Oryzias latipes: one gene and its partners. The protein of the gene in region 2 purifies or fractionates together with the protein of the main gene of each other region. This does not show direct contact. Links are inferred from orthologs where the notes say so. Each region holds a gene or a part of one and is shown on either strand. Other genes may lie near its edges.

What was found. The genes of interacting proteins can lie anywhere in the genome.
Region 1: the proteins of exoc2 (region 2) and exoc6 purify together in Homo sapiens (affinity purification with mass spectrometry; 5 studies listed by BioGRID and IntAct, counting the BioPlex papers as one, with this or other methods). This does not show direct contact. The link is inferred for Oryzias latipes from reciprocal best matches to the Homo sapiens genes EXOC2 and EXOC6.
Region 3: the proteins of exoc2 (region 2) and exoc3 purify together in Homo sapiens (affinity purification with mass spectrometry; 6 studies listed by BioGRID and IntAct, counting the BioPlex papers as one, with this or other methods). This does not show direct contact. The link is inferred for Oryzias latipes from reciprocal best matches to the Homo sapiens genes EXOC2 and EXOC3.
Region 4: the proteins of exoc2 (region 2) and exoc7 fractionate together in Homo sapiens (co-fractionation; 4 studies listed by BioGRID, with this or other methods). This does not show direct contact. The link is inferred for Oryzias latipes from reciprocal best matches to the Homo sapiens genes EXOC2 and EXOC7.

What each region holds. Positions count from the first base shown.
Region 1 is NC_019877.2:23,121,451-23,127,961, reverse strand, and holds part of exoc6 (exocyst complex component 6), read right to left. Parts: intron 5,453-6,511; coding exon 5,281-5,452; intron 3,897-5,280; coding exon 3,849-3,896; intron 3,753-3,848; coding exon 3,662-3,752; intron 2,866-3,661; coding exon 2,820-2,865; intron 1,095-2,819; coding exon 1,041-1,094; intron 909-1,040; coding exon 758-908; intron 680-757; coding exon 518-679; intron 104-517; coding exon 35-103; intron 1-34. UniProt on the Homo sapiens protein: Component of the exocyst complex involved in the docking of exocytic vesicles with fusion sites on the plasma membrane.
Region 2 is NC_019862.2:21,223,375-21,229,885, reverse strand, and holds part of exoc2 (exocyst complex component 2), read right to left. Parts: intron 5,478-6,511; coding exon 5,416-5,477; intron 4,181-5,415; coding exon 4,100-4,180; intron 3,941-4,099; coding exon 3,881-3,940; intron 2,969-3,880; coding exon 2,907-2,968; intron 2,830-2,906; coding exon 2,760-2,829; intron 304-2,759; coding exon 187-303; intron 1-186. UniProt on the Homo sapiens protein: Component of the exocyst complex involved in the docking of exocytic vesicles with fusion sites on the plasma membrane.
Region 3 is NC_019875.2:5,013,148-5,018,433, reverse strand, and holds the end of exoc3 (exocyst complex component 3), read right to left. Parts: intron 5,051-5,286; coding exon 4,909-5,050; intron 3,514-4,908; coding exon 3,391-3,513; intron 3,307-3,390; coding exon 3,145-3,306; intron 3,039-3,144; coding exon 2,917-3,038; intron 2,606-2,916; coding exon 2,410-2,605; 3' UTR 1,452-2,409; downstream 1-1,451. Other genes in the region: dnaJ homolog subfamily B member 6-like, read right to left, coding at 509-573. UniProt on the Homo sapiens protein: Component of the exocyst complex involved in the docking of exocytic vesicles with fusion sites on the plasma membrane.
Region 4 is NC_019877.2:22,402,234-22,408,744, forward strand, and holds part of exoc7 (exocyst complex component 7), read right to left. Parts: intron 5,037-6,511; coding exon 4,944-5,036; intron 2,819-4,943; coding exon 2,750-2,818; intron 2,572-2,749; coding exon 2,426-2,571; intron 1,832-2,425; coding exon 1,679-1,831; intron 1,602-1,678; coding exon 1,503-1,601; intron 1,424-1,502; coding exon 1,361-1,423; intron 1,288-1,360; coding exon 1,221-1,287; intron 1-1,220. UniProt on the Homo sapiens protein: Component of the exocyst complex involved in the docking of exocytic vesicles with fusion sites on the plasma membrane.

The DNA.
Region 1 (6,511 bases), on a different chromosome or scaffold from region 2:
CACAGAACAGTGTGTTTGCAGCGAAAACACTTACCAGCACCGTGTAGATGTGTAGACATCTGTAGACGGGAGAGAAGTCCACCAGGTCCTGAGCTGTAAGGATCTGTCACACACACACACAAGAAATCAGGTCAGACACAAGAGACCTGCGAATCTGACGAGCCGAATGAAATTCAATGCTGCCATTTCCATATTCCAATTTGAAAAACTAAATAAGGGAAAACAAAAGCCTCAGGAATCCTGGAAAGTTTAGGATTTAGGCTCCAAGAACAGTTTTTAGTCTGACTCCAAAAGCAAACTAAAGCAGTTGAAGGCCTATATATTCTTCCGGATTTATTGATTTAACTTTTATTATAAGGTAACTGCAAGATCAGACGTTTCTCCCATCAGTGTTGCTCATAGTTGTAGTCAAACAACAACACAGCACTGATAAACCTGGACAGTTATGAGGATGTCTGCACCACATGCAGACAAACACTGAAAGACCTGCAATGCAGACCAGAGAATATGTCCTCACCTCATCATCAGCGTCCTCTTCGTCTCCTGCACCGTCATCCATCAGCAGACCGTTGGGCATGTGCGAGTGCGCTCGTCCTTTCAGGGAGAACAGGGGTTTGGTGTAGTGGTCTAAGCCGGCCTGCTTTGCCACCGTGCTGATGAAGGTCCTGTGCTGCTGCGCCTGTGCACAACTCACGGTGAGGCGGATGGATCCAAGCCACTCGGCTGAGGATGAAGCTGCCGTCACACCTGGACCCACCTGTCTGATGGCAGTCTCTCCAACCTTGTCTGAATGCTTTCGTATGCTCTCCAGGAAGTCCTTGAGGTCCGACATGGAGACGTCCTTGATCTCCTCTCTGAGTTTGGGCAGGTTTTCAGCCATGATCTGACAGAACCTGTACTGACTCACTCTGTAAAGACAAACACAGCCCCTCATTCTCTCACAAGTGCATTTTGAAATGGCTCTTGATGGAAGTCGGGCAGAGCTGCACGATGAGGAATTATTCTTCATATTCAAGGATGAACAGCAAACGTGATCCTACCTGGGGATGTACACCTTCTCCAGTTGCTCCATGGTTTTCAGAGCAGCATAGTACCTGTGGAGAGGAAGCGACTTGAGGCTGGAGGACAACAGACTGCTGCTGTGGCGCCTCTGAGGCACTTTGTCCACAACACGTTTGATATATTTCTCATTTCTCGGGACGTTTTTTTCCACTTTTTCATTAAGCAGAAGGATTTCCGTTCAGCCGAGACAAAGACAAGATGTTTCAACAGTTCTGTTCAGCGGCAGCCGCATTCAAACGCTACTTCTTAGTGTATATGTAAGGGCTGACCAAGTGTGCATTATCAGAAATGAATGCACACAAGTGAGTTCATTTCTGATAATGCACACTTGGAAGGCCATTAACCCACTTATACCATGACATATTCAACTAGTTTTTAGTCCTTTATTCTTGCTGTTTTTACGGTTTGGACCGTTTTTCTAGGCGTGCAGTTGTGGTCCATCACTTTTTAATGCACACCCAGCAGCCAATCAGAATCATGAATTCACCCAGACCATGGTATGATGCACCTCATTTGCATGAATGCAGCACAGTTCCTTTCTAAAAGTTTTTCGGTTTTAGATTTTTTAAATTGTTTTTTAATTCACAGTCTGGGAATAAATGACGTGGAGTTCAATGTTGGGTCAGTGTGCTAAGCTCCCATCATTAGACTGTTAAGCAAGCTGTGAAGGGATCTAATTGGTCGGTCAGGGAGTGTAAAATGTGTCGCTGACAAACGAATAAAGGAGACACTCTCACAAACTGCACTGCGAAAAGGTTGATCAAGATGCAGGGCAGCAAAACGGACGACGCACAGCCACGTACACGACTCACTGACGAGTCCAGAAGCTCTGCCACTGGTGTTTGAAGTACACTTCACCATCACACACACACACACACACACACACACACACACACACACACATGGTGGCCATCATGGTCTAATTGACTTGGATTGGCTGAGGGCCACAGCGGAGCGGCAGTGAGGGGGCCTTGTTGTGAACAAGGGCATACTGAGGGTCAATTGTCCTTCCACTGAATGGTCTCCTTCTTTGGAACACAGTCATGAACAAGAAAGGGTCATTATTTTCCTGTCCAAAGTGAGCTCCCCTCCGTTCTTCATACAGGCAGGCACATAAACACAGCTCAAGGGGAAGTTCAGGGGGTAAAAGTGAAGTTCAGGGGAGCTGCAGAACGGGGCAGGGGTTGAAAAGTCTGAAAGGAACCTGCTGCACATGTCCTGCATCGTCTAGATCTCTGTCAGGACCGTCATTTCTCCAATCATTCAAACTCCTTCGACTAAATATTTTCTGTTGGCTTTTAAAGCTCCTAAAATATGGAGTGAAAATCCTTCGTCAAAGCGTGCTGAGTTGAAGGGAAACGTTTTTCTTTTCATAAACATCGACAACTGTAAGTATAGGATGGGTTCTCTCTGCGCTCGTCCTCCACCCTTATCCTTATCCGGCGCCACTCACACAGGAAAGACTCAGTTGTGGCTTAAGCCTATCCCAGTGGAAGAGTGTCCACCCTGACATTGGGTCATCGTGGGTTAGAATCCAGTGGGGTCAGACTGAAAATGTTCCCGATATCTCCCTGGGGGTTACATGCAGTGAACAGATAGAGAGACGGCTGAGAGACAAGGACGGGGACTTGAGTGGAAAGGAACCAACGGTAGAGACTTGTTTATGCTCTCAGGACCCAAGGTTTGTGCCTGATGGGGGCTTTCAGAAGTTCAAATTTATGTAGGAGTTTTGGTTGAATGCTCGGTGAGACATTTACCTTTTGGATGTCAGCTGCTCCTTCAGTTTGCTGTACATTTCCAGCACTACAAAGGAAGGAAGGAGGACAGGATTACATTCCTGAAAAGTTTTTTGTTTTACAGTGAAAAGAGAAAACACAATAGACATCCAACTGAGAAGTCTGCTTTAGCTGAAATCAAAGCACACAGGCTGTGTCCAAATTTCCTCCCTAACCCCTAAATAATACAAAACTCGATCGTGCCGGACAATCTAGTGTCCTGGATTTTAAAAGCAACTCCGACACCACGCTCACTAGTTTTTTGTTTGTTTTTTTGTTAAATGGCGAATACGCCGTCTCCGCTTTCACAAAGTGAAAATCTAACCGGTGTGAGCGTTTTACGACGACCATTTAAGAGGAAAACATTGATGGTTTATTTAAAAAATATATTTAAATCCTTCTTCTTTTGCAAATATTGTTCAAACACAATGCATTGTGGTCTATATGCGCCAATCTAGTGATCATCGATGCCCACTGCTTTTACGCAGAGACTCCTGGGAAATTTCTAGGGCACTAAATGTTGGAACTGTCGACTCGGACAGCACTCTAAAATGGTGAAGGCGCTTTATGGCGCACTGTGTTGTGAAGGAATTTGGACACAGCCACAGACGTGACCGACCATTGCATCCTCTACAGCAAGAACCCAGTTTCCATAGCAACGGACAGGGCAGTGAAAGTGTAAGACAGCTCACTGTTTTTCCTGTAGTTATTCGGTGTAAACGTCTTTTTGTGCGCATTAATTATTGTGTGCGCAGAGTATTAATCTTTGGTGAATATTGGTGAAGTCACCAATATCTAGAGAAACAGACGTGAGCCTTAAACACCTGGAATACAGAGCTGGAGCTTCTCCACTGTGGTGGCCATGTTCCTCTGTTGGATGCGACAGCGGATGACCTCCTCCGTCTGAGCCGTTACCTGGAGGAGGAAGGAGAGGATGGCAAAACCAGAGCGGTGTAAGGTCCTGGGGGTGGAACCACAGGCTGAGTTTGGACATCATGAGAGCACACTTACTTCCTTCCCTGCTTCCTGGAGTCTTCGGTTGGTGTCCGTCACTTGACCCTTAGAAATGAAAGCACAAGCAGAGTTGAGATGTTTTGTTCAGAAGACCCTCTGGAGGAAGATCTACACCAGGACGGAGCATGTGCTGCAGTTTCCACACATGAGCGGATAGTTCAGTGGAAAAGGTCACAAATTCAAGTCTTGAATCTTTTTCCTTCCACAAAACAAACCCCTAAAAACATCTCTGTAGGCCCGTCCTCCAGCGACTATGAAAGCAGTGTTTGTTCTTGCTGCTCTACTGTTTCATCGAATTCAGCAAATTTGAGAAAATAATGAAAAGAAAAAAAGTAACTCTGATTGTGGGACTTAATACATTTAATTGAGATAATTATAATTAAAAAATCAAATTCAATACAATTAGCAGAAAACAAATGAAATGTTATATTTTAATTTGGTTAAGAATAAAAAGACCCATTTGAATAAAGGTCAGACGTGCAGGAGACTTCATTATGTTGTTTATTGTATTTTAGTGCTTTTTATTATCTGTGATCTTCTTAGTTTTGATAACGAATCCATTTGTCCATTGTGGGATCAATTAAGGTTCTATTTCCTATGCGCTGCAGGATTCTGCAGTAAAGCAGGAGCAGCTGATAAGGTGTCCTACCGAGTCCTTCCTCTGGACTCGGATGCGTTTCCAGCATCCTGTAGAGCTGCAGCTACAGCTCACCGTCTCAGTTTCCCTCAGCATCAGCGCACAGATGTGAGAAGGAGCTGCTGTTTTCAGACCCTTTCTGGTTGAGGGATGAAGGTGACGTCTCATTTTTTCCCCCCTTAGCATCCATGTGTGTTGTAGGAAGCGCGGCGGAACCTGTTTTCTTTCTGCTTCCCTCTTCATGCCCTTTCCACTCTTCCTCCCTCCCTGCAGCTGCTCAGCTTTGTAATCAGCTCATTGTCCATGGAGGAGCACGGACAAAGGCTGGCAAATTCAGATTAACCAGGCAGCGGGGACCTGAACCCATCGGCGGAGCGCTGGGCCTTTCATGGGGTTTAATGGCTTGTGACAGGCTCTTTCTCACAGATTCAGTGACAAACTTCTCAATTCTGTAGGTGGATTTTTGAACTTTCAGCTCTTGTCATGCGGCACGGAGCCATGACCCATTTGACCAGTCAGCTTTCGGATGACGGCCTTCCCAACCGGGAAACAACGAGATAATCACTTTCTTTATGTCATTCTGCAGAAGCATTTCACATGAGCAGAGTTCCAAACAGCAAAGGAAAAAGTCGGTTTTTAGGTCTCACTTTCAGGTATTTAGCTAGAACTGTAAAAACTCTGAGGTCCAACTTTTGCATGTTTACTGTTCCTGCAGCTCTGTGCGAGTCAGAATCCGCCCTGAATGAAAGACCAGGACAGAGAACCGTGACGCCTGCACAGCCGTGGTCTTACCATCAGCTTCTCCGCATCGGCCCGGACCTTCAGGAGCTCTGTGATGGCGTCCACAAAGCCTTGGTGGTGGAAGTTGCACATCTTCTCAATCTCGCGGTCATGGTTCCTTATCCGGGTATCGAGCTTTTCCATGAACCGCTTGTGAGCGTTGGGCTGGTCATCATAAATAGACCTGAGACAAAAAACAGAGGCAATGGAGACAAAAGAGAACATTTTCATGGCGTCTTTTCTCTGGTTTCCAGCCCTCATCTATCCTGCAGGTGATCTGTGCAGATAAAACCTAAATGCTCAGGCGATTGAGCAAGTCGGTCAATGATCGAAGGGTCGGCGGTTCAATACCCGCTCACCCCAGCCAGCTGTCATTGTGTCTTTGAGCAACAGACTTCACCCTCCCTGCATATGTGTATGAATGTCCCGGTGATGGTCAGAGGGGCTGTACTGGCAGCCGACCTCTGTCAGTCTGCCCCACGGCAGCTGTGGTACATCAGTAGTTACCATCACCAAATATGAATAATTAATGGACACATTGGAAGAACTTTGAGCGTCTGGAAGGCACAGAAAACTCCAATTTATTATTATTATTATTATAGATTAACACTGATTTTTGTGTATTCAACCCCTCAGGGAGGAGGCTGTTGAAAACCCTTTGGAGGCGGATGGATGTCACAAATGTCTTGGACCTAAATTGTCCTTGTAGATTGACTGACAGATGAAATGACATCATGAATGCCTCCAAAGACGTTTTTTCCTGCAACAGTTAAATGAATGATCACCATGGTTCAGAGTTCTCTCTGTGATAGACAGTATTACACAATAAGAGCAAGCAAACTAGGGGCACAGCTTTAATGCAAACTACCCCAAAATTATCTTTACTGTTTTTATTACGTTTTTTTTATGTGTCATGGTTTAAAAACCTTTAAAGTCCCTCGTCAGTCATCTTCTGATCTATTGTCAAAGTGTTCCCAGTGGTCTTTTTATTATGATGATAATGCCGTTTTTAGCCAAAAACATTTTCTAGGACCTAGTTTCTGCAGAGCAGCAGGAGTTCATTAGAAAATTACCTCTGAGTTGTGGGCGGGTCTGTTGGCGTGGAGTAAGCCAGCACGGATGTCCCATCATCCCTTTGTTTAAACTCTCCCACTAGCTTGACCTGTAGAACTCCACATTTTCATATATTGCCTGTTATTTCTTTATTAGTGAAACTGGATGAAACCTGTTGTTTGTCTTCTTC
Region 2 (6,511 bases):
GTGACTATGTTGAGAACAGAGGTGAAAAGTGTGACTTTTTCTTTTCATTAGTCATCCCTTTGCTGAGAAACGAAAAAAAACACACAGATCAGTTTAGTTGTTGTAGTTTGTTTTCTTCTCATGACGCCTCCACACTTCTCCTCAATAGGAGTGTAACAGCTGCAGGTCACAGCAGCAGGTACTGACCCGCGTGATCTTCTCTGTTCCCGTGAAGCCGTGCTTTTCAAAGTGATCCGCCAAGTTCAGGAAGGTGCGTCTCTCCAGGTACTGGCAGTTGCTCAGAATGATCAGCAAACGCTGCTCCTGTTCATAAAAGAAAGGAAAAGTTAGATTGTAATTTAAGCCCAAGACCTTGTTCCAGCACAAACTCGTTTTGTTAAATAATCACATGTTTTTGAAGACCTAGTTTGCAGAAAATGGTGTTTTGGTATTTTAACATGTGTCTGTGGCATTTTTCTAAAGATGGAGGACATGTATATAAAGAAATTAATTGCATTTCTCAGTATTTCTTTATTCAAATCGTTGCGAATCAGGAACAGAAAAAAAAATGAAGTTTGAAAATTAGCTTTTTTAGCTGTAGAAAATACGCCAAACGCTCCCTGCTTAAAGCTCTCAGCCACCGGGAGGGAAGGGGTTTGGTTCACGCCAACGGTCCCACCCACAACTCAGAGGAGAGTTTCTAATGAACGACTGCTGCTCTACAGAAACTATGTCCTAGAAACTAACACAGGTTTTTAGACTTTGCCTAAAAATGGCATAAAATAATTAAAAGACCTCTGAGATGAGGGGGGGGGGATGAAAATAAGTGATAAAGTCTATTTCAATCCCTCCTTTTTCAGGGGTAAGGATGGGGTAAGCAGGGGTGGACCATTGACTGTATTAGAGAATATAAAATAACATCCCTATGCGTGTATTTGAACCACACCTAAAATAGATGTACAGTGATGGACAAAATTGTTGGTACCCCTCAGTTAAAGAAAGAAAGTCCACGATGCTCACTGAAATGACTTGAAATGTTCAAAAGTAACAATAAATTAAAATTTATTGAAAATTTGATAATCAAAATCAGCCATTACTTTTGAGTTGTTGATTAACAGAATTCTTTTTTTGTTTAAACTAATGAAATAGGGCTGGACAAAAATGATGGCACCCGTAACTTAATATTTTGTTGCACAACCTTTTGAGTCAATCACTGCAATTAAACAGTTTTTGTATTTGTCAATGAGCCTTCTGCTCCTGTCCACAGGTATTTTGGCCCACTCCTCATGAGCAAACTGCTCCAGTTGTCCCAGGTTTGACGGGTGTCTTCTCCAAATGGAATGTTTCAGCTCCTTCCACAGATGTTCAATGGGATTCAGATCTGGGCTCATAGAAGGCCACTTCAGAATAGTCCAACGCTTTTCTCTTAGCTTTTCTTGGGGGTTTTTGGCTGTGTGTTTTGGATAGTTGTCCTGTTGGAAGACCCATGACCTGCGACTGAGACCAAGCTTTCTGACACTAGGCAGCACATTTCTATCCAGAATGCCTTGATAATCTTAAGATTTCATTTTACCTTGCACAACTTCAAGACACCCTGTGCCAGATGCAGCAAAGCAGCCCCAAAACAGAACTGAGCCTCCTCCATGTTTCACAGTAGGGACAGTGTTCTTTTCGTTGTATGCTTCATTTTTGAGTCTACCAACATAGAGCTGATGTGCCTTACCAAAAAGCTCCAGTTTGGTCTCATCTGTCCAAAGGACATTTTCCCAGAAGCTTTGTGGCTTGTCAACATGCATTTTTTCAAATTCCAGTCTGGCTTTTTTATGATTTCCTTTCAACAGTGGTGTCCTCCTTGGTCACCTCCCATGAAGTCCACTCTGGATTTATTGTTACTTTTGAATGTTTCAAGTCATTTCAATGAGCATTGTGGACTTTCTTTCTTTAACTGAGGGGTACCAACAATCTTGTCCACCACTGTATGTTTACATCCTGCTCACATTTGTGGAGAGCTTCACAGCAGTTTTGGCTCTTCAGAGGAGCGGAAGCAGAGACCAATGCATTTGCAGCTTCAAGGCCTGTTTTGTGTTTTTTCAGATCAACACAATTTCAGATTCGGGTTGCATAACAGTACAATATCATCACATAGTTTCAAATCTTCCCTATTGTCTTGTATACTTGTATACTTTCAACCACAACATAAAAAAATGATAATTGACAAAATAACACAAAAGCTCATTTTAATGAAGGACAAACCCACAGACACTCATACAGGGCTGACGCTTTATTTTGAAAAATTCTCTACTTTACTAGAAAGACCTTGTTTATCCTCTGCTGAGGCGAACACGAAAACAGAAAAGAGAGATTACGTGTTTAGCACCTCCCTATCGAGCAACGCTCCGACCCCTCAGTTCACACCGGTCTTCAGCGCTGTGTAGTCGAGCTCGGCTGCCTGACTCCCGCTGCACACATTCAGGCTGGGGAAGCCCCGTCTGCACCTTGCTCCATTTCCCTTTACCAGAAGCACTTCATACCCTGCTCTTCCTCCACCCCGTCCTCCACCCCACCGCTTAACCCCCTTCACCAACCTCTCAAAACGAGTTACAGGAAATGAGGACGTAGCTGCTGCGTGTCCACAACCAGGAAACAGACAGATAAAGGTTTGTGGTTCTGACGAGTGTGCCGCCCGCGTTCGTCAACATGTGTCAAAGGCTGTTCTGGCCCCTGTCAGTTGTGGACCCCAAACTGCTGAGTGGAAGTCAGAGAAACGGCATTTTGCTTACTGAAGTTGGACTGAAGTCCTCGTGGGCGGCTGCGAAGCGGTCTGGAGAGGACAGATCTACAGAAATGTTGCTGCAGACAAACCAACAACTTTAAAATCATTCCCTAAAGCACAATCATCTCAAAGATCATTTTAAAAAGATACTCACTGAGAGACTTGGATGTCTCCATCCGTTTTCATGCTCAGCTGCTCCAGACAGTTTATAAAAGCCTAAGTTCAACACATTTGTCAGGCGTGTTGAGAGAAACACACACCGTAACACAGTTTTTACAGCAACAGTCAATAGATTTAATAGTAGCTGAAGATCTCATGTGTCTGTCAGTTGGCTTAAAGACCCACTCCGATGGAAAATGGGGTTTCTGGTCATTTTAACAGGTTCTCATTTTTCTCAAGATGGAGGACAAATAATATGAAAATTAAGCTTAAAATTACATTTCTGAGTATTTCTTTATTCAAGTCATTGTGAAGCAGGAGGCGTTAGAAATAGACTTGTTTGTGATGTTGAAAATACACTGGGGGGGGCTACAAGTTTCCTGCTTTGCTCTGCAACGGGAGGGGAAGGGGGGCAGGGTTGCTAATCTACGCTGGCTCAAAACTTTATAGCTGGACAGCTCTGAGATTGCTTAGCATTTTTGGTATGCTGGTAATGTAATGTTAGGTTGGGGATGGGAGGGGTTGTAAGCTAGCGGGAGAGAGTGTAAACAGAGAGCTCTCAGAAACAGGGAGGGGAAGGGGGATGGGACTGTCCCGCCCACAACTCAGACGTGAAATTCTAATGAACTGATGCTGTTCTGCAGAAGCTATATCCTAGAAAACAACACAGGTTTGAATATTTTGGCTAAAACGGCATAATAATAATTAAAAGACCACTGGGAACACTTTTACAAAAGATGATCAGAGTGGGACTTTAAAGCTTCATATTGCCCTAGGGCCAGAGTCACAAATTTATTTGTGTATACTGTAACTCCATAAATTGTTGCAATATAACAGATAAGGTTATCTGACAAAAACTAACATGTCTCAGCAAATGTCTGGACTCAAATCATGCTGACATGTCTGAACATTTTTCCTTAGTAAAACCAGTTAAATGTTGGCTCTGTGGGCATCTGCATATCATATTACCGTCATGATGGTCACTATGAGCTCTGCTGCCTGGTCCTGGACCTGGTCTAACTGCAGCACCTGTGGAAGAATATCAACAGCACTGGAACAAACCCAGAACCAAATAATTCAAGCTTTATGCACTACCTTTCTAGCTTGGTTTCTCAACAGAAAAAAATACACTAGAACCTTTAGAAATGAATCTATTGAGCCAAAGGGATTTGTGGGTAAGTATCTCACATTGATTTCTCCTGGTTTGGTCTCCAGAGGTTCTTTGAAGGACTGCAACATCTGGACCACGCACTGTTCAAAGTGGTAAGGCTGCAAAAACGAGAGTATAAACAGACTCAAGATTAAAAAAAACTGGAAGAAGAGGTGATGGAACTGATGGATGGAAGTAAAATACTGTACACAGTTGGTATGAACTTCAAGAAAATTCTTTGTTTTGGATCTATCCTTAATAATAATAACCCTTTTATTAGCTTATTTTTAAGCACATTTAAAAGTGCTGTTAGTGTTTATCCGTCTTACTTCATTGTTTCATTTACAAAGTTTTAATATATCTCTCCTTCCTTTCTGTCTGATAATGTAAAAGGGATTGTAATTGAGTAAAAAGGATGAGTAAAATAGCCATTTTGGATGTGAGATGCAAAAATAATTCACTGAATGCTTTTGCACCATGTTTGATGCTCTTGTTGTTCCCAATGTAAATAAAAGTCTATAAATTCACAGCTAGAACTGCTGCAGTCCTCGTCAAACTGATTTTCCACACTAAATTGAATAACCACAGTTTTTGCTAAAAGAGTACCAGTTAATGTTGTTACAGCTGTTTGATTCTTTGGCTACAAAAACGTTTTTTTTGTTTTTTAATCATTGAAGGAACTTGTGAACTTTGATAAGTGTGCTGGTTATTTTAACACACAGGGGAAATAGTTTTAGAAGACAACACTGAAGCCTTTTAAACATTTAAAAAAAAAAAATCCAAGCAATATTATGGTGCGTATTAAAGAACATTTAGAACTTAGCCTAGAAAAATTTGCTAAAAAATAAATAAAGAAAGAAATATTAAACTAACATAAGAAAGGTTCATTCATATGAATGAAAGTACTTACTTTTGAGGGGGTGACAGAAAAACAATATTTATATTGGATGTAAAGTAGTTATGATGATTATTTATGCTTTAAGCACAAAAAGCTGATTTACAACATTTCATTTCCAAAATAGATTGATACCTTTGTTTGAATATTAATTTATTTTTAAAGGTCCATAAAATCCATAGACAGAAAAACAATTTTTACAAGTTTAAATGAATTTGACTTTTGCGCAAAATATCTTTAAAAAAGTAATATGTTAAAAAAATTTTAATCACAGAGATCAAAAATGAAAATAGTTCATGCAAAGAATAATAAATTATTCTTGTAATCAAAACTTCAATCTAACAGCGTCCTTTTGAAAATGTATAAATAGTAATTCATTGATCATTATATTTATAACCAAAGTTCTTAAATTCCTAAAAATTATATATACATTATATATATACATTATATATAACGTACCAGGCTGGTGATTCCTTCATTGTCTACAACCCAGTCTTCCTTCACAGCGAGTCTCTTCACATCTAAGTAAAAGAAACACAAACATAAAGCAAATCTAAAAAAAAAAAATAGTTTATTGGATTCATTTTTTTCTACAAAAAATGCAGCAGTACTGCCTTTTAATACCAGTAAAAACTGGTAATAACTATGTTTATTGTTTTGCGAATAAACCACACATTCCAGACAAGTTATTTCCTTCTAACTGTGTGTCTTTGTGTGCGTGAGGAACTGCTGGGGGTGTGAGAGATGTTACATGAGAAAACCAGGCTTTCTTCTCAAAATGACCATTTTTAACCACAAGTGAAACTTAACAAATCTGGTTTTGGTCTCAAAACACTTTCTCTCTTCCAACTCTTGAAGGTGTAGAAACGACTCGAGCTTTTCCTCAAAGTTGTCCACGAAGCTAAACATGAAGGACTGCATCCTACACCTTTTTTGGGGGGTTTTCAAATACCACTGTTGCAGCAAATCATCAAAAATGTAATCAAAAACAGATTGCATCAGCACAAGCTTTTGCAGTTTAAATACAAATCAGTATATGTGGTTACAGATGCATTTTCTAACTTCTTTTTTTTAAGTTTTTCTTTTGCAAAACATTTCTGTTGTTCAGATCAGTGGGCTCCAACCTTTTTCAGGTCACGGACTGGCCTGCAAGAAGCTAAAGTGGGAATCTGATTTCTTTCTTGCTTTTATGCTTTTTGCCTAAAAAACCGTGAGCTACAAAAGTGCACACCAACTTCAGCCTCGTCCTACTTTAAAGGAGTGACAAATAAAAAAAGGCACGAAGACTGATATTTTCTAAAGATAGTAATAAACCTGAATCCACCGTTTGAACAACTTTATTAGCAGCATCCTCGTAACATTAGACAGCCGGTGGATGAATATTATATATTATCATTGTCGTGTGTGAGAACAACTATTCGATATCTCTGAAAATAAAAACAATCCAAATTTTCAATTTAATTTCAAAATTTCAATTAATTTTCATGTAATATTTTAATAAACAAACATTTCAACAAGTCCTCCATCTAATGCTGCATGTGGGGACTTTGCAGAC
Region 3 (5,286 bases), on a different chromosome or scaffold from region 2:
GTGTCAGTCAGACATTTTCTGCTTCAGCCTGAAACACAGTGGAAGGGGCTGTGAACTTCTGAAACCTCCGTGGTCCTGAGTGTGAGGGATGGAGTTTACCACACCAACATATTCACTTCTCCATCAAGCGGGACTCAGCACTTCCAGAGGAGGGATGGAACAACTTTTGACCTGCATTAACCCTCTCCCTGTGATTTAATGCAGAGGAAAACATGCAGCTGCATTATGACATTTGATTCTGAAGAAGATGGAGGGAGAGGTGAGCACTGGTGACAAGAGGGACAGAAGGGCAGATGGCATCGGTGATGAGAAGAAACCTCGTCTGGTCTGCAGCCGGCGGCAGACGTTCCCACAGAAATAGAACTCCATGAGCCGAGTGTTTCTCCGTCAGCTGCTGGTGCTCAGCTTCAGGTATCAGCATCCCAGCAGGAAGAAGGGCTCCATGGGGCAGACGGAGAGCCGGCAGTCGCCACCCAACTAACAAGAAGACCTTTGATCAGCTACTCACGCTTTTTTGATCTCATCTGCAGGCGCGTCCCGCCGTACTCCTAAAACCTGGTAGTAGTCCACCATGATCAGGAGATGCCCCTGCACATGGAAGAAACGGGGGAGGAGTCATATGGAAGAAGAGGGCGTGGTCAGCAAGCATCAGAGAGCGGGGGCAGAGGAGCAGCAGTTTGGAAGATCAAACACTCAAAGTGAAGAGGTGAATGTGGGCAGAGGAGGAGACAGCAGACCAGGTCCTGCAGGAGGAGGCCAAGGACGCTGGTGGTCAGCTTCCTGACAGCCTGCTGGGCCTGATCCGGGATCAGGAGAACCTGTTTACTAGTCTGAGCTGGGGCCAAAGCAGCAGCGACGCTCTGAGGAAGACCTGTCGCTAATCAGACCGGACTCTGGCCCCTGGACTGGGATCTGCTTGGTCTCAGATCTTTGTCTAAACTCAGAGCTGGTTCCTGTTCTGGCCTCTGGTCTGAGATCTGGTCCCTGGACTCAAAACGGGTCCCTGGTCTCAGGTCTCTCACCTTGACCGAGCAAACGGCCGTTGGCGTCAGAAACCAGATCTGAGATCGGTTCTGGTCTCTGCCGCGGTTCTCGTCCTCCGCCCGCAAAATTAGCTTAGCACAGCTCAGCACGAGTTAGCATGAAACGCTGTCAAAAGTCCATACCCGGTCTGTCAGCGGCGAAAGGCGATGCTGATGTGACGGACGGTTAATGTTTGGGTCCGAACTGCTACTAAAGCCGAACTGGGTCAGTCATGTCCACAAATCTGCAGACGATCCAAATAAAACACGGCGTCCAGGGCTCCCTTGTTCTTCTTCTTCTCTGCAGTCACGTCCGCGCTGGGCTCTGCTGCCCCCTACCGGAGACTCGGTGACACACCACCTTTAAACAGCGACATTTCTGCTTAAAAACAGCGGGTTGTCGGTAATAAACAACTTAGTCATAGAAACTCAATTTTCAATCTAATTTTTATTTTGCAATCAAACATCCCAAGTATTTTACATTGTTTTTAAATTACCACCCAACTCATTAATTCAAGTGATTTCAAAGTCAGTAACCGTATTAAGTTACTTAAGTCTAAGAAAGTGACAAATGTTTATGCAATGACATGTCGTTTTGTGAAACCCAAACTGACAAAGCAAAAATATAACTAGACATTAACATTTTTGGATATTTAAACTTCAAAAGAAAAGAGGCACACATTTATTTTCAGTTTTTTAAAAATCTTACAAATATGTGACACTGTATTTGATAAAATAATTATATTTTTAAGTCAAAAATTAAGCCACGCGTGTAGTTTTTTTTTTGGGTGCATGTTGCATCTTGAGGATACAGTCCCAGCCTGTGGAGTTTTTAGGTCCTGACATCTGTTTGTAGTGACAATATCCCATCTCCACTGATGCCCCCCTTATCATCATGCTGCCCCCACCAATCCAGGTTTTTCTGTTTGTCCAGTGGTCATCATGCATCTACACTGCATCTTCCTTTGAACTGAAAATGTTTCAATCCCTCATCAGCGGAAGATTAGTGTAAACATTCCCCGTTTCTTCATAACGAACATTGAAATTAATAAAAAATGGCGGTCAAAAACCCTGTGATGGACTTTACCGGATCAAACCAAACATTCAAAAACTGAAAGAGTCAAGCTGCTGTAGACTGAACCGGAGCTTAGGCAATGGTGCCTCAGATGGGGGCTTGCTTCAGTCACTTCACCATGAGAAAATGACATTGGGCATGGTCACAAGCAGGACCGAACCTTTGAAACGTCCTACCTGCAGCTCAGTCATCTGAAACCTGAAACCCTGCAGTTATGTTTACAGCTCTGGGTTTATAGATGCTGAAGCACAAATGAGAAGAAAAACCTGAAATCAAATGTGGAGGGAGAAGATTCAAGAGGTGGTTCCCGCTTTATTTGAGCAGCTTTGAAGTTGCCATGGAGGTCATGGAGGTCATGGACATGGTGGGGACAGGAATGTCTCTGAAGATGGGCTGCGAAGCGGCAGAGCTGGCCACCTTGTTCTCGCTCAGAGTCCCGATGATCATCTGCCGCATCTCTCTGCTGGCGTCGCCTCGAACGGTGAGCAGCGCCTGGATGTGGTCCTCCCTGCAGCAGAGGGGACAGAAGAAGAAGAAGAAGAGCTGCCTCACCTGCCCAACACAACTGCTGCAGGTGGCGCACACACACAGGCTTCATTTCTGAATGATCAACTCAGACTGACCAAATTCAACTGAAATGAACCCTTAAAGCTGGAGGAATGTCATGTTTGGAGACAATTTGTGTGCATATGTATTTATATTGAAAATTTCCACTGATCTATAGTCAAACTTGACATAATGGTCATTTTTGCTCTCAATAACTGCATCATTGTCACACTGTGCCTTCAGGAGTGATGCCTCTGCTGTGTCACACCTCACCTGATATCGGGGTATTTGGACACCAGCGTGGTGACTTCCAGGAACAGGAGCGTGGGATCGGTCAGCTTAAACACCTCAGCGATGGCGGTGATGGCGCCGCACAGACGCTCTGTGTCTTCGCCCTGCAGCAGGCAGAAGTTGACCAACTGTGCAGCGCTCTGGGGGGTGGGGGGGTGGGGGTTTGGTGGCTCCTAAGTGCGACCGGTGCAGTGAAAGAGAGAAACTCACCGCCGCCAGCTTCCTGAAGAGGAAACTGAACTGGTCGGCTTCCCTGATCATCCTCTCTGCGCCCTCCCTCCTCTCATCAGCGTTTTTGAAGCTCATCCTCTTCTGCATCACTGCTTTGATGTACTCCACCACCACCCTCCGCAGCGCCTCCTTCGTCATCTCCTGCAGAAAAACGCAGGCGGCAGCCATGCTAACAGTCTCCTGCAGGAGGGGGGTCTGCGTTTTTAAAACCCGGTCTCACTGTACCTGGTTGAAGGGCTTTTTGATTTTATTGAAGTCGTTGAAATAGTCCTCCACCGTCACACAGATGGTGTCCACAGCATGAGAGCCGCTCAGCCACTTCCGGGTCAGGAGCTCGTTCAGGTGATGCTGTTCAACAGAACCGGAACAGTTTAGTGGACCGGGACTGCTCTGACCACATAGGTCTCAGGCGTTTCTCTGCCCCGTAGCCCTCATACTTCTAACGTTTGACATGTCCGAGTAAACAAAGAGAGTTTTGGGAGGAAAGAAGTGAAGAGGAACAAAGAGGGATGAAGGCTAGGACTGCTGAATCCTGGTCCTCCAGATCCACTTCTGTTACCCAGCCCTCCCTGCACAGCCTGCAGCTAACTATCTGGATCAAGTGTGTTCAGCAGAAATGGAGATGATGAAGTTCTCTTAAGCACAAATGAGGACGGAGAAAATAAGAGCATCAGGAGAACAAGATGATTGGATGTGAAACCAGATTCAGACATGCTCAGAGGAGGAGGAGCCAAAGAAAAGGATGAGGACGAGGAAAAAGATGAGTTAAAAGGCCTGTATCGTGCTTTTCTTTAGCCTGTCAGAGTAAAATATATCCATATATATGATCATATATTACCTTTGAAACACTAAAGAACCATTTTTTATAAAATATGAGTTTTTTTCACAGCCCCTTTTGCTATCCTGAAGTAAGCTGACTTGATCTTTAAGGCTCCGCCTTTCTCTCCTGTGGGTACCGCCCATTTCATGACATCATCCTAGAGTCGGCCTCAGCAGTGTGCCTGAGTTTCTCCCCCGAAAAATAAACATCCGAACTTTTACATAGCTGGATTGATGTCCATGTTGTTCACAGAAAATGAAAGCGTTTAGCCCATCACCGCTAGCTCCACTGAGAAAGTTAGCCTGGGGGCGGGGCTGGCACCCTAGACTCTTCCTGAAAGGGGCGGTTCCTCACTTTGTGATGTCAAATTTAATGACCTGCTCGTTTTTGTGGATTGGGAGGGGCTGGTGCTCAGAGAGCAGGTTTTTAGAGGAATACTCAGAGATGCATGAATGGATCAAAATACCCCTATGGGGGTAGATTTTAGTGAGGAATGAATGAATCATCCTGGCTCCAAAAAGTTGATTTTGCATGATATAGGCCCTTTAAAATAGGGGAGATGATTCTCTGTGGCACCCTCTAAAGGAAGCAGCTGAAAGGAAAATTAAAAGAGAACAGAGGATCCTGGGAGTTTCTCTATTGTTAGAAAAGCATCTATTAGCTGCTGACAAAGTCACATCATCTACCAAATCCTTTAAAGAATTGTTTTGAACGCACCGCAGTACTACTGTGAGAACGTATAAACCATGGAGTAAAAAGTGATCTGGAACATCAGCTGACTTATGATAAAAGGATCCTGAGGATTTCCATCTCTAATTCTCGTGCCATGATCAGTTGGAACCACTGACGGGATCCCAAACGCCTCACGTTCAGACATGAACAGACCAACATGGGCCCAGCGGGACCGCCACGGCCGTTCTTACTTCCAGATCAAGAAAGACCTCGTCCAGGAGAAACTGGCATCCATCTTTTGCCACGCCGCCGAGCGTCTTGTCAATGGCGGCGTCGCTTTCGGTGGGCTCGGAGGACTGAGAGTACTTCCTCTTCAGACTGTTGATGGACTCTCTGAGGAGGACAGGACACTGAAGTTCAGCAGGAGATGAGATAAAAGGTGTGTCACATAAATATTTATCAGCAGCTCTCAACTGTTTTAACACCAAGCGGCACACATTTAAACAGTAAGACACGGGAACTGCTTATATGCCGTCATAGCAGATGCCCCTATTCAAAGAGAATTTACAAGTGAGCTAAACCACAGAAAAACTAAACCAGACAATATGTAGTCATGGTTAACTAGTTTC
Region 4 (6,511 bases), on a different chromosome or scaffold from region 2:
GGTACTCCATAAGCCCTCAAGATTCGCCACAAGCTGTCTCTGTGCACACTGTCAAATGCTTTTTCAAAGTCTATAAAGTTAACGAAGAGCTGCTGCTGCCATTCAGCACTTTGTTCTATTATGTTTCTCAGAGCAAAAATCTGTTCCGTGCATCTTCTCCCTTTTCTAAAACCGGCTTGTTCCTTCCTAAGTATTGCATTCACAGCTTCCGATAACCTATTGATGATTATCTTGGCCATAATCTTGCTGGGGATGGACAGAAGGGTGATACCACGCCAGTTGTTACATTCGCTGAGTGTGCCCTTCTTTGGAATTTTGATGATTACACCTTTAGTCCATTCTTCTGGTATGCTTGCTGATATCCAAACGGTTTTGAAAAAAGGTTGCAATATTTTTGATGCTGTTTCTGTGTCCGTCTTGAACAGTTCAGCATTCAAATTGTCGTGACCTGGTGCTTTATTGCTTTTCAGTGACTTGATAACTGAGACAATTTCCTCCTTTGTTGGTGGGTCTGTGTTGATGTCTAGGTCTGTCTTTCCTTCTGGAATATCTGCTCCTTCTGTTGGTGGATCTCTGTTCAAAACTTCCTGAAAATGTTCAGCCCAGCGGGTATCTTGTTCTGCTTCTGTTGTGAGAAGCTTCCCCTGTTTATCTTTAATTGGTAAGCTGACAGTAGAGTGGTGTTTTCCACATACTTGTCGACTAATTCTGTACAGCTGGCCTTGTTCTCCTCGGGTTGTAGCTCTTTCTGCCTCCTCAGCAAGCTCCTCAATATATGCTCGTCGATCGGCGCGCACCATTCATTTTACTGTCTTATTGGCTTAAAAAGCAGTGGCTACTCAACACAAAAAAGCTGAACCTTACGGTAAAAGGAGAAACTGAGATGGTTCGTTCTCCAGCTAATATGAGATTCTGCACTTATCTCTGTGTCTCCAGGTTTGTTTCTATTGGTTTGCAAAATTCCAGGCAGATTCTCGCCATTCTCCTCTGTCATTTGGCAGGAACTGTCTTCCTGTTCAATATTTCTCTCTCCTGTCCCCCACTGTAGCTAAAATCTATCAAATTCTTGACATGAGCAGGCTGGAAAGGAAGAAATGGATGCCTGGCACTGACTTGAAATTTGAATTCCCTTTGGGTGCTCGTGTTTGTGTATCTGCCATGATGTTTTCAGACAGACAGGTGGTGGGTGGACGTCTGCAGAGCTACACAAAGGAGCAAACCTTGAGATGCCAGCATGGCTCCTGCAGTCTCGTGGAAGTCCAGCAGCTGCTGCAGGAACAGAATGGCCTGAACGGAGACAGAGAGCTCAAACAAGCGGCAAATAACCGGAGAGGCAGTGCAGAGCAGAAACCAAGCTTACGTTGCTGGTGAGCTCATGCACTGTTCCATCTTTGGGCATGTTGTACTCTTTATCAGGATCATTCTGTAGTTAGTGGAGAGAAAACCCATGTAAATGACCAGCAGCCAATAGACAAGGGGTGGTTTAAGTGGGAGCCGCATGCCTTAATGCTGTCTGCAAACTCTTCCAGTGCTTTGGCTCCAATCGTCTCCATGGACGTGATGAGCGTTGGCAGTTTGTTCTTGGTGCTCGCCGCCGTTCCCTGCACGTCAAATCAAGTACAGTCGCTAAACACCCCAAGACCAGCTTCTTCCAGAAATGAGACGCCGCAGACCCAACCTGAAGTGTGGAGTCAAAGTCTGACTTGTTCATCTTCAGATGTCTGAGGATGGGGAAGATGGTGAGCACCGCCGAGTAGTCGTGGCGCATGATGGCCCTGCGAGCTGCAGACACAATGTTGTCTCCTTCCAGCATCAGGTTGTCCAATGCTTCCTGTGGACAGACATGATGAAACTGAGCATGCAACCAGAATGTGGCTTAGGGAAAAATGTCCTGCTTTTAATCATTAAAATCCTTTCAGCCAGATAAAAGGTGTCCGTGTCTATGGTAATCTATGGTATCAATGGTCAGATACGGTGAAGAAAAACAGTAAGAGTGACTAAAGAGTTTTTAGCGTCAACTGCTCATCTACTGGACACTCAACCAACAAACAGAGAATGACCTAAAAAAGGAAAAAAACTGGATGGTTGATGTCAGCAATCAGAGGAGAATGAGGTTTCAAATTTGATTGTTGCTTTGGTTTATTTTTTCTTGACTGTGGAGTTTCATTACTGTAGATGGTAGGGAAACCTTTAGCAAATGACCAACACCTGGAACCTCAGGTGGATGTTCTACAGAAGCTTTACTTTCAACAGCAGCACCTGATTAAATCCTCAAGAGCCCTTCCTGCATATCTGATGCTGTACTTCTGCCCGGTGATTACAGATAAAAGGATTGTTGAATACTTTTGTGTCACTACGTCTAACCCCTAAAACCAAATTGTCTGGGAAATCCTCAATGAAAGCTCCCTGGTTTGACTCCTCTGACCTGGATGAGGGAGTCAAAGGTCTTCTTCTGGTGGTGTTCAGGGATGATCTCGGTCAGCAGGGCGTACTCGCTCTGAGCCAGCTTCACAAAGGCACTGATGCAGTGGATGTAGGAGTCGATCTCGATGTCAAGAACATCGTCTTTCCCTAAGAGTTGCATAACAAGAGCTCCCGTCAGCTGACAAAACATAAGACAAGGATCTAAACAACAACTTCAGCCCGGAGTTTAACTTCTTACTTTATAAGAACTTGATTGTTAAAGGAAGAAACTGAGCTGAGGTTGCCTCTCTGATCAACCTCTGAACTTCTGGAATTCGTCACTCACCTGGGGCAGCCCCATGCTTCTCAGTCAGGGCCTCAGTGATGTGTTTGACCCGTGGGTCATGATCGTAACCTGGTGGGTGGGGCGGGCCAGCAGGGAGACTAGTCAAAACGAGGTCAAGACTAGGCTAAGAGGGGGGAGAGGGGACAAACCTGACCTGAACCGCCCACCACCAAGCACCAGAGAGAAAAGGCAGGGCGTGCCCACCCAAGATGAGTGAAATGTAAACTGGTTCTGAACCAGTCTACATGTTAAACTGTGGGACAAAAACCAGCTTCAAATGTCACAACAGCTTTGGATTCATTGCAGCTTTTGACAGATTTCCTGATGGGAAAATGGGAAAACCCCACGTCTGACACCAGTTTATCAGTTGGATGGGAGTTTAAGCAGAAAATGAATTCTTCTTTCCTGATAACTTCCCGACCCGACTTGATTGAAAGCTATTAATGGGAGAAAGGTCTCATGTGTTCATGGTCTACCGGTGCGAAGCCCATTGAGACGACTGTTGTTTGAATTTGGGCTCTACAAATAAACTTGAATTGAATTGATGCATAAATGAATCAATCAAAAAAGACATTTTAAAGAAGTAAGAGGTCAGATTTGGGTGCTTGTGCCACTTTTGACTTTATCTTCATCATATCAAACCTTTTAATTTCATTACTGATGGGATTGCTGGTTAATCTGTAGGTTTTCTAAAAACATGTCTTTGTGGGGGCAAAGGACGGAGTGGAGACTGAATTACATTGGAATAATTGAACTTAACATTGTTGGTGTAAATGCATTTATTTTGCATTTTTAGACAACCTAATATTCAAAGCCGGGTCAACTAAAATAAAAAATCCGTTTGAACTTTATTAAAAGAAATTTTTTTAGCAGAGCCAATTGACTTCAAGTGAGGTTTGTGTTAAAAACGCCTGAAGACAAATGTTTGCTTTAAAGCAGTGAAGCAAAAACATATTTGTCAGCCACAGATTCCTCAGGTCGTCCCTCTAAAAAGCTGAGTTTGGTCTGAGATGTTCATCATAGAAACACTTTAATGTGAGAGACAAAATGTAAAGAAAGAATGCAGGAAATCACAATGTCTGATCTTTAAATAATGATTGTATAATGGAGCAGAAAATAAGGATTCATCTAGAAGCCAGCAAGGATTCAGTTCCTCACAGACCCGTTCCTCCTTCTTTAAGAAGCTCTTCTATCCTCCACTGGTTACCTGTGTTCATGTCACCTGTTTGAACTGGTTACCTGTAGAAAAGACACCTGTCCACACCCTTATACAGGCAGACCTCTCCACCAAGGAGCTGTCTGAGGACACCAGGGACAAGTTTGTACACAGTCCAGAACTACAGGGGGAGCCGGTCAACGACCGGCCTGATCCGTATGAAGCAAAAGGGGAATTGGGTCACGTATGGGGAGATTTTGGACAAAAACCTCCTTCCAATAGGGAGAACATCAGGGATGGAACATGTCTGGATCTTCCAGCATTACTAAAAGAATCCCCCAAAGATCACCCAGCAAAGTAAAGAGTGTCTAAAGGATTTCAGGGTTCTAGAGTGTTCCAACGGTCCCTGGACCTCAATCCATGGAGAATCTGTGGAGGGAGTGGTTGCCCAGCAACAGCCCCAAAAACAGCACAGCTCTAGAGAAGATCTGCATGGAAGAATGGACCAAATTAGCAACTACAGTTCAGATCGTCTGAAAATCTTCAGGAAACCTTGTGGGGAACAGGAGCCAGCCTTGTGCTGTTTCTTACTATATAATGTTTTTTTCAACTTTTTTTTACTATTTCCCTGATGAACCACCCACAATGGAACTGCTACTGACAGTTACAAAAAGTCTATCGGTTCCAAACCTTTGACCTCTGTCATTGGAACCACATTACAAAGTACTGAGATGAACTTTTCTCAGTGACTGAACATTTATTTTCTGCTCTATTATACAAAGAAACTCAAACATTGTGCTTTCTGGATTCTGTATTCACATTGTGTCAAAATGTTTCTATAATGAACATTGCAGACCAAAGTCAGCTTTTTCAGAGGGATAACTTGCAGAATGGTTCCGTTCATCGTGAGTGCTGTCCATCATGTGTCCAATGATCTGAAGCGGTACAGTCTAGAAGCTGCTTTGGCCGGCTGTTGGGACTTTGTGTTTGACTGAAACCAGCTGGAAAAAAGAGACAGAGAAGACCAAGGTGCTTTACCTTCCAAAGGAGTGAGGTTAGAACCCCCCTTTTTCCCATCCAGCCCATGCTGTGAGTACTGTTTCAGAAGGTTCTGAGCCTTGCGAATGGTCCCTGGTCCCACAAACACAGAGAAAGAGTCCAGAGGAGAGGAGTGGGGCCAGCAAGGTCCAGACAACCAAGAAACACCAGAAGAAAGAGGAAGAAGAAAAAGAAGCGGGAAACGAGTGTGATGAAAGGCAGACACCACATCCCTCCACCAATGGGGCAACCAGCAGGGTTTGTTTTTGGGGTGGGGGAGAGGGAGCACCACCTATAGCACCAAAACCAGTCAACCCAACAACAGCACTACAGGACTGCTGTGTGGAAACACACATGTAAGAAAGCACACAGGTTAGGTCACAGGTCATACATGAACATCAGCAGATCATAATCAGATGACATCCAGAAAACATTACAGCACGAACGCAGCCTCAGCGCATTGTGGGTTGGTAGGCAGGTGGAACATTTGGAGCTGCGCTCATTCCTTTTCCTTACCTTAAAGTACAGAAATGCAAATGACAAAGCAGCAGACGGCGGGCGGCTCTATCACACGTGCAGCCAATGACAACAAACGTGAGCAACTGGACGTCCGATGGCTTCCTCGCCCTGCATAGCGTTCAAGTCAGCGACGTCCCGATTACAAACAGGACATTGTCCCCCTACTTCGTCCGTCTACGTCCTGATTAATGTCCTGTTTACAAATAGGACATTGTCCCCCTACTGCGTCAGTCTACATCCTAAATACAAACAGGAAATTGTCCCCCTACTGTGTCCGTCTACGTCCTGATTGTTGTCCTGATTACAAACAGGACATCGTCCCCCTACTGCAACCGTCTACGTCCTGATAAATGTCCTGATTACAAACAGGACATCGTCCCCCTACTTCGTCCGTCTACGTCCTGATTACAAACAGGATATCGTCCCCCTACTGCGTCAGTCTACATCCTAAATACAAACAGGAAATTGTCCCCCTACTGCGTCCGTCTACGTCCTGATTAATGTCCTGATTACAAATAGGACATTGTCCCCCTACTGCGTCTGTCTACGTCCTAATTACAAACAGGAAACCGTCCCCCTACTGCGTCCGTCTACGTCCTGATTAATGTCCTAATTACAAACAGGACATCGTCCCCCTACTGCGTCCATCTACGTCCTGATTAATGTCCTAATTACAAACAGGACATCGTCCCCCTACTGCGTCAGTCTACATCCTAAATACAAATAGGACATTGTCCCCTTACTTCGTCCGTCTACATCCTGATTAATGTCCTGATTACAAACAGGACATTTTCCCCTTATTGTGCCCATCTCTGAGCATCTGGAAGCTTCCAGTCCAGCTTTGTGACAAAGCAGACGTCTACAGGACTACAACACAAGACTACAACACAAGAAGACGTGCTGTCAAATCCTGTCCGCCCCCTCCAGCAGCAGGTCACTTTACTGCAGTTTTGGGTTTAGGCTCCGGCGCAGCTTTAGTGACTTGAGCTGAACCAAGTGCACGGCATCAGGCTGCTACAGAGATTCACACCGGAAGTTGTGTGTAAAAT